Linked DNA regions of Sus scrofa. The protein of the gene in region 3 binds, or shares a complex with, the protein of the main gene of each other region. Links are inferred from orthologs where the notes say so. Each region holds a gene or a part of one and is shown on either strand. Other genes may lie near its edges.

Region 1 (3,647 bases), on a different chromosome or scaffold from region 3:
GTGAGCTGTGGTGTAGGTTGCAGACGTGGCTCGGATCCCGCGGTGCTGTGGCTCTGGCGTAGGCTGGTGGCTACAGCTCCGATTCGACCCCTAGCCTGGGAACCTCCATATGCCGCGGGAGCGGCCCAAGAAATGGCAAAAAGACCAAAAAAAAAAAAAAAAAAAAAGTCATTCTCTCCCCCTCAAAGTGAAAAGGTGGTGAGTGTTACAGCAAAACACAAAGCAGGGTAAAGGAGGTGGTGGCCAGAGGTACAATTTCATAAACGGTGAAGAGAAAGGGCTTTGCTTAGAAAGCAGCGTTTGAGGAGTTCCCGCGGTAGCTCAGCGCAACTGGCATCCATGAGGACTCGGGTTCGGATCCCTGGCCTTACTCAGCGGGTTAAGGATCCAGCCTTGCTGTGAGCGGTAGTGTAGGTTGCAGACGGGACTCGAATCCCACGTGGCGGTGGCTGTGGTGGAGGCCAGCAGCTGTAGCTCTGCTTTGACCCTAGCCTGGGAACTTCCATATGCCTCAAGTGTGGCCCTAAGAAGACCAAAAACAAACAAACAAACAAAAAAAACCCCAAAAAACACCCCACACATTTTCTATTCTGTTCTATCTGGGAAGCGGACACGTGTGTTATCCCTCCCTGGTGAGCCTAGGAAGGATTTTAACCAGTGGTGACTCCTTCCGGGCCACCTACTGAGGCTCTCCATGTGTGTCCAAGCCATTGCTCAGTCTCTGTCAGGGGAGTAACTCAGTGGCCAGTCTAAGCTGTGAGCAGGACTGGACAATGATTATCAGTGCTTCCAGTTGTGATAAAAGGCAAGGCGTGGGATTGAAGCAGAAGAGAACCCGTTTGATTGATTATACACTTCATACCTTCGTGCAGGCAAGTATTTTAATCACTTTTAATGGTTTACATCATGCTCCATTCCACACAGAGTTTGGAAATGAATATTTAAATCTTGTCTAAGTTTCTTTCTGTTTTTTTTTTTTTTTTTTTTTTTTGCTTTTCGGGGCCGCACCTGAGGCATATGGAAGCACCCAGACCAGGGATCTAATCAGCTACAGCTGCCGGGCCTACACCACAGCCACAGCCACAGCCACGTGGGATCCGAGCCGTGTCTGTGACCTACACCACAGCTCACAGCAATGCTGGATCTCTGACCCACTGAGTAAGGCCAGGGATTGAACCTGAATCCTCATGGATACTAGTCAGTTTTGTTTCCGCTGTACCACAACGGGAACTCCTGGCCTAGGTTTCTTAAAAGATCTGCAGGCTCAAACTGTGTTTGTCTACCTCATGACCAAGCTGTACTTTATGTCCAACCAAAATCACTCCAGATTTTATTTTAGTTCATTTCCTTTGAAAAAAATTTATCATCTTAAGCAGTGGAGAAATGATAAAAAGTAATAGCAAACTTTTTATCTACAACTTCCATCTACATTCTTTCATTATTTCTCTTTTCAGTGGGCCCACTCTTGAAAGATTTTGCCTGCCTATCAATATGTATTAATAAATTCTCTGCTTTGGGGGGTTTGTTTTTGGTTTGGTTTGGTTGGGTTGCGGGGGGGCACACCTGCAGCATTGAGAAGTTCCTAGGCCAGGGATCGAACCCATGCTGCAGCAGTGACCCGAGCTACAGTTGGGAATAACGCCAGATCCTTAATCCGCTGTGCTGCAGGGGAACTCCACCATTTCCATTCTTTGTGGATTTTATTCCTAAACTCTTGGGACCTTTATTTCTTCCTTGGTTGGCCCCAGGAGCCTGGGGACCCCATGCTGGGAATGAGTGACTTCGTTGCTTTCCTTATGAAACAGTGGAGAAACCTGCTCCAGAGAGAAGCAGTAGAGCTGAAGCCGGGACCACACGTCCCGGTTCACACTGCGGTGTGCCTCCCTCCACACCACGTTTTAGCTGCCTTCTCTTGGTGCTCCAGGAGGTAAACTTGGCAACAGAAATCGAAGCAGGGAGACACCCCCCTCGCTCCTCCAACACCCACCCCTCCATCGCTGCCCTACCTCCCCTGCCCACTCTTACCTTGCTCGCAGTTCTCTACTGTTCCATACTGAGCCAGCAGGCTGTCCAGTACCTGGGAGCAGGGAGAAGGGGACACAGCTGCTCTGAGCACCCCAGGAACTCATACAGCCAGCACTGGACACCCCTCATCCCCAAGCACTGGGGCACAGGCGGCGCCTTTGGTGTGGGGATGGAGCAGCTACCTGCTTGCTTTGCCCTTTCTAGGGGACTCATGCGGGTGGTGACCTGTTGGGGTTTCTTTGCAGAATATACTTTAGCTCAAGAAGACATTTAAGCGCCTTTCTGGAAGCCGGATTGTGCCACGCGGGTCCCTAACTTACCCTTTGTCATTACTAAGTTTGGGGTTCAGGGACTGCCCCTCCCACTTCCGTCAGGCCTCTCACCACAGGGACAGAACAAACACAGAAGCCTGAGGTTAGGGCTGAGACCCAGCCAGTCTCCCCTCAGCCCCAAGCCACCAGGACACCTCCCCGTCACCTCTGCCAACGCAGGCTGACCCAGACTCCCTTCCCAGTCTCTGTGATGACCCCACACCACCGATTCGAGAATCCCCCGATCACTTACTTCCCATCGCAGCTGGGGTGGAATATTTCGGATCTGTATTTTCCGACTCCTGAAATCAGAGAGAACAGTGTCAGTGACAGCTCTGGGTGCTTTTTAGGGGCCCATGACCGTGTGGGTTTTAATCCTTATCCCAGTCTACCTTCCTGTTTTCTGCTGCTCAACCCCAAAGCCTTAGAGTTGAAGAATGATAACCTTTGGGAGTGAAGATGTGGTGGTGGGGGGGGGCTTGCTTACTGTCAGTGCTACCGCAGATGGGAAGGCCAAATCAGAGGCCCTATAGGCTAGGAAAACCAAAGCCCCCCCGCCCCCGCCCCGTCCCATCTGCTTTGTGTATCTCTCTTAGTTGCTCACTAGTTCTCTTACTCAGTAACCGTCTATAACCCACTGTGTGACAGGCTCTAAGAATACAAAGCTAGCTACACAAATTATTCCATGAATCATTTATCTGATACCTTTTCAATCGGCACCTACCTCATGCCGGATTTTGTTCTACCTGCTGGGGACATAGTGATAAACAAAGCAAAGTACTGGAGTTCCCGTCATGGCTCAGTGGTTAATGAATCCGACTAGGAACCCTGAGGTTGTGGGTCTGATCCCTGGCCTTGCTCAGGGGGTTAAGGATCCGGCGTTGCCATGAGCTGAGGTGTAGGTTGCAGACTAGGCTCAGATCCCGTGTTGCTGTGGCTCTGGCATAGACTGGTGGCTACAGCTCCAATTTGACCCCTAGCCTGGGAACCTCCATATGCCGAGGGAGCGGCCCAAGAAATGGCAAAATGACAAAAAAAAAAAAAAAAAAAAAAAGGCAAACTACCTGGTCTCAAGGTGCTCACAATTTATTAGGGGAAACATGTATGCAAACAAATTACAGCAGGATAATAGGCAGCAGCTAAACTCCTTTTTTTTTCTTTTGGTACAGATATGGATTTAAACCTGTGCTCCACTCAATAGCACTGATCTTTAAAAAGCTATTTAACTTCTTTGAGGCTCAGTTTTCCCGTTTGTAAAACAGGGATAATAGCCATTCACAGGAGGTATAAAGTGATGTTAGATAATATTAT
Region 2 (4,360 bases), on a different chromosome or scaffold from region 3:
CAAAAACTAAATCAGATGGCAGACTCGAGATACTGGTCTTGGGCATGCTTCTCCTATTACACATTTGAACATAGCTACTTTGCAATTAAAATACTTTTGTTGCTTGTTAATATTGATAAATCTATTATTTCATTTATAATAAACCATACTTGTTTAATCAAAATAAAGGATAAGCCAAAGGTAGAAATCCACGATTAGTGCATCTCTTAGCCTCAAATAAAATTCAAGTGAAATCCCAAATATAGGACCTGAGACAGAATTAACAACTCTAAAAACGTTTTAAAACTCCCCCCAAAATGTAAAATAAATTAATAATAAGCAATTAAAGTAATGAAGGCCTAAATATCATCAGTTTTCTTCACACAGCCCAAATTTTAGCCAAGTAGTTACTATTTCAACATCTTAAGTAACACTACTGGATGAATGAAAAACATTTTTAAACGACTTATTCAACACTCAAGATGTTAGAATAAATGTTTTACTAGAGGCAGATAAACAGAAGCTATTAAAGGAGTTATTTTTAAGGTAAAAGGCAAAAGTTTGCGTAATAATCATAGATGTTAGTTACCTCATTTTTTTTTTTAAACTACTGATTTGTTTTCCCTTCCCACCTCCAATGTTGAATTATTCACTTCTGCCAAGACCCTTTCTCTACACATACACAAACACACACACACAGGGGCGCGCACACACGTGTCCCTCTAAACAGAGCTGGCACAGTCATGCGCCGAAAGCATAAAACAAAAGGCCAACTTGAAGATAAACTTCACTGTGTGACCCAGAACGGCTAAATATCGAATCCAAAAATTTGTGGGTGTGACTCGATTTTTTTTTTTTTTTTTGGAGAGGAGGTGTGGGAGGCCAGTCGGGGCGGCTGCCGGGTCTCTGCCCTCCCCCTCTGCTTTCGCTTTGTGCTCACAATGCAGCTCCTGTAAAGCGCTTCCCTCTCCCCGTAGCCGCCGCCATGTTAGACGCGCTCTCCATGTGCCCAGAGACCTAGCGATCCCCTCCGTCCAACCCAGACCCCCCCCTCCCCCGCGACTAACGAATCTCGATCGGTGCAGCCTCCCTCCCATCCTTCTTTATAGAGTCCCCGAGGGACAAAAAGCCGCCGCAGACAATCTTCTCGGGATCGAGTTGAGCGTGAGGTTCGGGGGGGGGGACCTAGACAATTGAAACAAAGAAGGAAACGTAGGGGCGCCCGTGAGATGGGGGCGAGGGAACAAGTCGAAGGCTCCTAGAGGGGAGCCTGAGGAAGAAGCGAGTCTAGTTTAAGATCTAAAAACACTTCCCTTGCGAGGGAGGAGAGGGGCCACTGCGCAAGCCTCAAGTACACGGTAACGGGGCGGACGAGCCCCTAGGCTATAGGACGTAGGACAACCCAACTCCACGAGGCAGTCGGTTGGGCCTGAGCCCTCCCCACAGAGAGTCCTCATTTCCCCCGCTGACCCCCGCGGATCCAGCCTCGGCCACGAAGACAAGGACACCACACACACACACACACACACACACACACACACACACACACACACACACGGCGATCGGACAGGCCCCCACCCCTACACATCGCACTCCCAAAGGCCAACAGCCTGGCCCCCGGCAAGAGCAGAGTAATAAGGAGCCCGGGGGCCAGCGCCACGTCCGGGTCAGGTGACAAGCACCTCCCCGCGGAGCCCGTTTTCTGGGCACGAAGCTCCACTTCCAGCGGGGAGACGGGGCGTGGGGGGTGGGGACCGGGAGGAAGGGAAGCGCCCGAGACGCGGAGCGTGAAGGCTACAGCAGTCAGGGTCAGCATCCAACCCTCCCTTCCCCGCCAACTCCGGGCACCTTTTTCTTCTCCAGGTTCCGAAGTTTCTTGTCGATCACCCCGAGAATCTGCTTCATGGCCTCGGTCTGGACAGCGCCGGTGCCGGTCGCGGGGTGCTGAGAAGCCGGCGCGGCGGCCCCGGCTCCCGCCGCCGCCTCACTCCCGGAGGAACCCGACGGGGGTGGCGGTCCGGACGACTTGCTGCCGCTTCCGCTGTGGCTGGTGGCCGAGGGCATCTTGAGACCGTGAGGGGAGAGAAGAAAAAGCGGGAGGAAGGACAAGAGCGGCGAGTCAGGCGGCGGACGGGGCGAGACGCGGGACAAAACGCGCAGCGGGCGGGAGCCTGCGAGAGCGGTGGGGGTGGGGACGGGGCCGGCGCGCGCGCGCCGCCGGGGCAGGAAGGGGCCGCGGGCGCGCGCGCGACCCGCCAGCGGGGCGCCCGGCCGGGCCTCGCGCCGCCCCCCGCCCCTCCCCCGCGCCGGCCGCCGGCTCGGCCTACCTGCCCCGGGGCACCGAGGCTCGCGCCGGGGGCGGGGCCTCGCAGCGCCGGCCGCCAACGGCCAGTGCAACGGTCCCCGCAGGGAAGGGACAGCCCTCGCCGCCCTGCGAGGACGGGAGGGAAGAGAGCGATCGGGGCTGAGAGGCGGAGAAGGGTGGAGAAGGGCACTGGAAATGACCAGGGCGGGTGGGGTGACTTGAGGAGCAAGCCCCTCGCGAAAGTCCAGCTAGTCCGGAGGTAAAGGACACTCGGGGCAGCGGCCCTCTTCCCCTTCAGCGCCTCAGTCCGGGGTGGCGCTCACCGTGCGCGCGCGGAGGCCGCTGGAGATCCCGAGGGGGCGGCTGAAGGGGCAAGGGTGGCGGTGCGTTCTGGGCAGTGTCGTGCGCTCCGTGGGCGCAGGCCGCTTCGCCCTTTCCCCGCTGCACCGAGAGCCGCTGCTAGTGAGGCGGAGAGCTGGGAGCGGGAGGGACTTAGGCAGCCAACCCTCTGGGGCGGAGGGGGCGGGAGAAGCGGCGGGCGGGGGCCTTCGCTGCCGCTCGGGCTGCCCGGCGCGAACGCCTGCGGGGAAGGGCCTGCCCAGCCTCCCGCCACCCCTGCCCAAGACCCTAGCCTGGGGGCTGGCCACTCAGCCCAGGTCGGAACAGCCTCTGAGAGGCTGCCGGAGCAGTGCCTTGAGTTTTGAGCGAAATCAAAGCTAGGGTCCTTCAGGCGAAGTCGCTTGACGTCCAAACAGGGACAATAGGTGTCAAGCAGCTGGATCTGGAGCTGGCGACTGCCGGGCGAGGAGCCCTTATTTGGTGGGGGTTGGGGGGGGGAGCAAAGGTTTCTGCAAGTAAGGGGTGTGTGGGGTGGGTGGTGCAATCCCAGCTTCTAGAATTCCTTCTGTACGGCGAGCAAGCAAACTCCCACACCCCCAAAATGTCTAAGGACAAGTTGCGGCTTCCCCTACAAAACAATCTCTCAGTAACCCAGGAGTTCTGTGTAAACGCGTTAGAAAGGAGCAAGATGGATGTTTGGGTTTGGGTGGTTTTGTTTGTTTTTGTCTTAAAACTCTGGACTCGTCATGTTTAAAATTATCTTCAGCTACCTTAAGATGACAGGTACCTAAGAGGCCTGAGTATTACGAATCAGATTTTTTTTTCCTTTTAAATTTACCTAAAACTTAAGATGTTAAATGAAACACAGTTTTTTTTTTTTTATCTGCTCCAAGAGAATTATTCCAGCATTGTAATAAGGCTATGGAGAATGAACAAAAAGCAGCTGAGGGCTAGAAGAAAGTGTATTAAAAAAATATAATCAGTGGAAAATTCAGCCACATGATGTATGACAACAGTAAATGACCAATTTATAATTTAAATTCCATAATAGAAGGGATTTAGAAAAGGAGCCTACCAAACCCGCCGCTCCCTAGAGAATGAAATGAGTAATACTGGCTGGCAACAGTGTATCCTGAGGGAGCCCAGAGAAACACAGCAGCAGCCTCCAGACTCAAGATATTCCAGTTAGCTGCAGTCTGTTATCTCGTCTTCAAATACAGAGCACCTTACTATGTGCTAGGAACTCTTGAGTGCTAGGGATTGTGAACAAAACAGTTTCTTCATGGAGCTTACATTCTAAGTGGGGAGAAGATAAATGCATATCAGATAGTGAAGTGGTAGAGAAGAAACAAGGTGGGCTGGAGAAGCCTTAGAATGACCCTTGAGCCAAGACCGAAGAAGTTGAAGAAGAGGGCCATTCACTTGGAAGAATTTTCCAGGTAGCAGGAAAACCAAGTGCCAGGAACTCAGATTGGGAATGTGCTTGGTGGGTTCAAGGAAGAGCAAGAAAGCCACAGTGACTAGAGTAGAGTAGGAGATGAGGTCGAAGACAAAGAGGGCCAGTCAGGTAAAGCCTGATAGGCCATTATTAGGACTTGGGCTTTTGCTGAATGAAATAGGGAGTCAGGCATGCATAATCTTAGAGAAGAACATGATCAATCTGTGTTTTTTTTTTAATCCTCTTGCTATTATATAATGAATTTACAGTAAGCGTGTATTTGAAATGGGAGGGAGGGT
Region 3 (3,041 bases):
AAGAGGAAGAACTCCTATTTTGAAATGTATGGTTTAGTATTTGCTTATGTCAAATGACTTCTAGGTTATTTATAATTTATCACATAATAGATACTACAGTTTAGTTTTTTTCAAATTAATAACTCAGGCTAAGTTTTCTTCTTTCCACCACAAGCTTAATATAAGCTACAAAACTATAAGCTAAACTCCTTTTCAGCATCACTGGCCTGGGCCAAATGAAGTGGTTACCAATTAGTCATTTAAACTGACTCAAAGACAAGCCATGTGACTCAGTTACTTAAGTTTCTTTTTATGACGATGTTGCCAATTTTCAAATATTTGAGGTCCTAAGGACCAACTGATAACACATCGAACTTCATTTCCGCCATGCCCTTCAGTAAATCTAGAGCTTCCCAGTAACACCAAAGCAAAAGAAAACACTCTTATTCCTACTCATATACTATCTTCATACAACAGTTCTGAAGATGAATACTGTTAAAAACAAGTTAAATTTGACAACCTCATTGCCCTTCAATTAGTAATGACAAGTTATCTATCACACAAAGGCTTGCTTCACATGTATAAACAAAACCTTCACCCACTTCACACACAACATTCAACAACATACTATGCAAAACGACTATTAGTCTATATTGCCAGATTAAATTTTCCTCCAGAAAGATTTTAATAAAAATTGGCCATTTCCAAGAAACACCCACTGCATGCCCGTCAATAAAAAGGAACCATAACAAAATAGAAAATTTACCATATGGCTATGATCTAAAGAAAAGAAAGACTAGTGCACACTGAAGCACATCAGCGAAGTCCAGTATGAAAGTCACATTCCTTCTTATGGGCTATGACTAGGATTCGGAATAGACACTGAAATAAAACTTAATATAAATGCTGGACCTCTACAGAAACATCTGTCCTCAAAGGCATTCCAGTTTGAGACTCAATTTCAGAATAAGGCATAACAAAAGAACACAAGACATACGGGTGAAAGAGGGATTCTATAATCCCCAACATACTGTGAACCTGATGGAAGAAATCTAGGGTTTGTTTGTTTGGTTTTTTTTATTTTTCTTTTAAAAACTGCCAAGACTGGGATCAAAGATAAATAGAAGGCACAACAGTTTTGCTCTGGTTTTCTGTTATTCGGATTTTGCAAATTTTTTTGTTTTTTTTTTCTTTTTTTACAAATACAAATTAAACATGAAAAAGTCCTACTTCAAAAAAAATAATCTAACAGTTCAAGAAAAGCTTAGTTGCATTCTAGACATTTAAAACCTATCGTCACAATTTAAACTTCAATGGTAAAAACAGTAGGTTTTGGAACTGTTTTGTGATCACGTATCAAAAGAAAAAAAAAAAAATCCACTAACACCTTTTATTCAGTTTTTAACCACACCAGCAAGAATCAGAATTGTCAATTTTTCCAATGGCAAGTACTCCATACCAGAAGGTAGTCATGACTCTCAAAGAAGAAACAATTTCGGTTTTTCCTGTCTTCAAAATGTTTATCAATTCCTGTAATTCTCACAAGCTTTCGAAACATGTAGAAAATAAGTAAGAAATATTCCAATGAATGAAACACACCAAATGTCAGTAATAAGCAAGACACATTCCTTTGGAGAAGTGGCTGTTAAAAAAAATCCAGTCTGTATATGCAAATAAAGCAAGGAAATTCAGTCTTTTTTTCTTCTTTAAAAATCCGTTTTTCCTAAAATATCATTCCACAAAATTGGAAGTGAAGGACTAAAAGGTGAGGAGGGGAGGGAGGAGGGAAGGGGCACACACCATTAACACAAAAGTAAAATTGTACAAACTTAAGCAGTTTATGACAGACTAGGGTCATATTCCAAGATACCAAAGCTTGGTTGAAATTCACCATTCTGTGGGAGATAGGGTTTGTATTGTTGCGCGAGGAGCAATTCACTGCCTTGGAGTAAGGCCCCTTCCCACTCCAAATCCTGGTTTCTGCACCATGCCTCCACGAGGTGGGCCTCTCATGCCCCCGCCCAGCCCGCCTCGAGGGCCTCCAGGTCCCCGCAGGCGGTTATCTCGACGGTCCCCTTCCCGGGCAGCTCGGGTCTTCTTTTCTTCCACATTCAGACGGACCTCACCTCTGAACATGATGGGCTGTTAAGAAAGGTGAGCAGACTTACAGAGTGCTTATGGGTTCCTGGTTAGACTATTAAAGGCAAAATGAAGAACCAGCAGTTTACAAACCAGCTATATTCTCGCATGTCAGTTTTTGTCTCAACACTGGACACATGATTTCCCCATTAACAGATACATGGAAGAGCAGCTAGGCATACAAGCTGATTCAAAAGAGTCCATTTAAACAACACAGCAGCACAAATAACTCTCATACTTACTGAAGCAAAATTAGGTTCCTATATAATTATATAACTAAAATAACATAAACAAAATCACTAGCTTCTCCTCGGATTTGAAGGCTTAGAATAAAACTCCATCATGGGGAGTTCCTATTGTGGGTCAGTGGTGAGGAATTCGACTAGAATCCATGAGGATGCGGGTTTGAACCCTGGCCCCACTCAGTGGGTTGGGGATCTGGCAGAGCAGTGATGCCATGTGGTATAGGTTGCAGATGAGGCTCGGATCTGGCGATGCTGTGGTTGTAGTATAAGCCGGCAGCTGAAGCTCTGATTTGATCCCTGGTCCAGGAACTTCCAAGTGGCACAGATAAGGCCATAAAAAGAAAAATAAAATGGTTAATTTTGTTATGGGAATTTCAGCTCAACTGAAAAAAAAGGTCTTAAAAATTCCACTCATACAACTCAATGGTAAAACAAACAACCCAATCAAAAAATGGGCAGAAAACTCAAATAGACATTTCTCCAAGAAGACATATGGATGGCCAGCAGACACATGCAAAGATGCTCAACATCACTAGTTATGAGAGAAATACAAATCAAAACTACAAGGAGGTACCACCTCACACCAGTTAGAATGGTCATGACTAGCAAGTCTACAAATAACATATACTGGAGAGGGTGTGGAAAAAAGGGAACCCTACTACACTGTCAGTGGGAACG

The links.
Region 1: G3BP1 (region 3) and IGF2BP1 share a complex: the UniProt entries of both Homo sapiens proteins name them as parts of the TAU mRNP complex. The link is inferred for Sus scrofa from reciprocal best matches to the Homo sapiens genes G3BP1 and IGF2BP1.
Region 2: the proteins of G3BP1 (region 3) and CAPRIN1 are in contact, whole or in part, in a crystal structure (PDB 8TH7), measured with the Homo sapiens proteins. The link is inferred for Sus scrofa from reciprocal best matches to the Homo sapiens genes G3BP1 and CAPRIN1. Residues at the interface, in NP_005745.1 of Homo sapiens: Glu4, Lys5, Pro6, Ser7, Leu10, Val11, Glu14, Phe15, Arg17, Gln18, Thr21, Leu22, Met29, His31, Arg32, Phe33, Tyr34, Gly35, Lys36, Gln58, Lys59, His62, Leu114, Glu117, Asn122, Lys123, Phe124, Tyr125; in NP_005889.3 of Homo sapiens: Met363, Gln365, Met366, Gln367, Gly368, Pro369, Tyr370, Asn371, Phe372, Ile373, Gln374, Asp375, Ser376, Met377, Leu378.

Annotation. Positions count from the first base shown.
Region 1 is NC_010454.4:25,224,326-25,227,972, reverse strand, and holds part of IGF2BP1 (insulin-like growth factor 2 mRNA-binding protein 1), read right to left. Parts: intron 2,639-3,647; coding exon 2,590-2,638; intron 2,078-2,589; coding exon 2,026-2,077; intron 1-2,025. UniProt on the Homo sapiens protein: RNA-binding factor that recruits target transcripts to cytoplasmic protein-RNA complexes (mRNPs). This transcript 'caging' into mRNPs allows mRNA transport and transient storage.
Region 2 is NC_010444.4:26,872,607-26,876,966, forward strand, and holds the start of CAPRIN1 (caprin-1), read right to left. Parts: upstream 2,820-4,360; 5' UTR 2,608-2,819; intron 2,044-2,607; coding exon 1,828-2,043; intron 1-1,827. UniProt on the Homo sapiens protein: mRNA-binding protein that acts as a regulator of mRNAs transport, translation and/or stability, and which is involved in neurogenesis, synaptic plasticity in neurons and cell proliferation and migration in multiple cell types.
Region 3 is NC_010458.4:71,249,051-71,252,091, forward strand, and holds the end of G3BP1 (ras GTPase-activating protein-binding protein 1), read right to left. Parts: intron 2,122-3,041; coding exon 1,915-2,121; 3' UTR 641-1,914; downstream 1-640. UniProt on the Homo sapiens protein: Protein involved in various processes, such as stress granule formation and innate immunity. Plays an essential role in stress granule formation.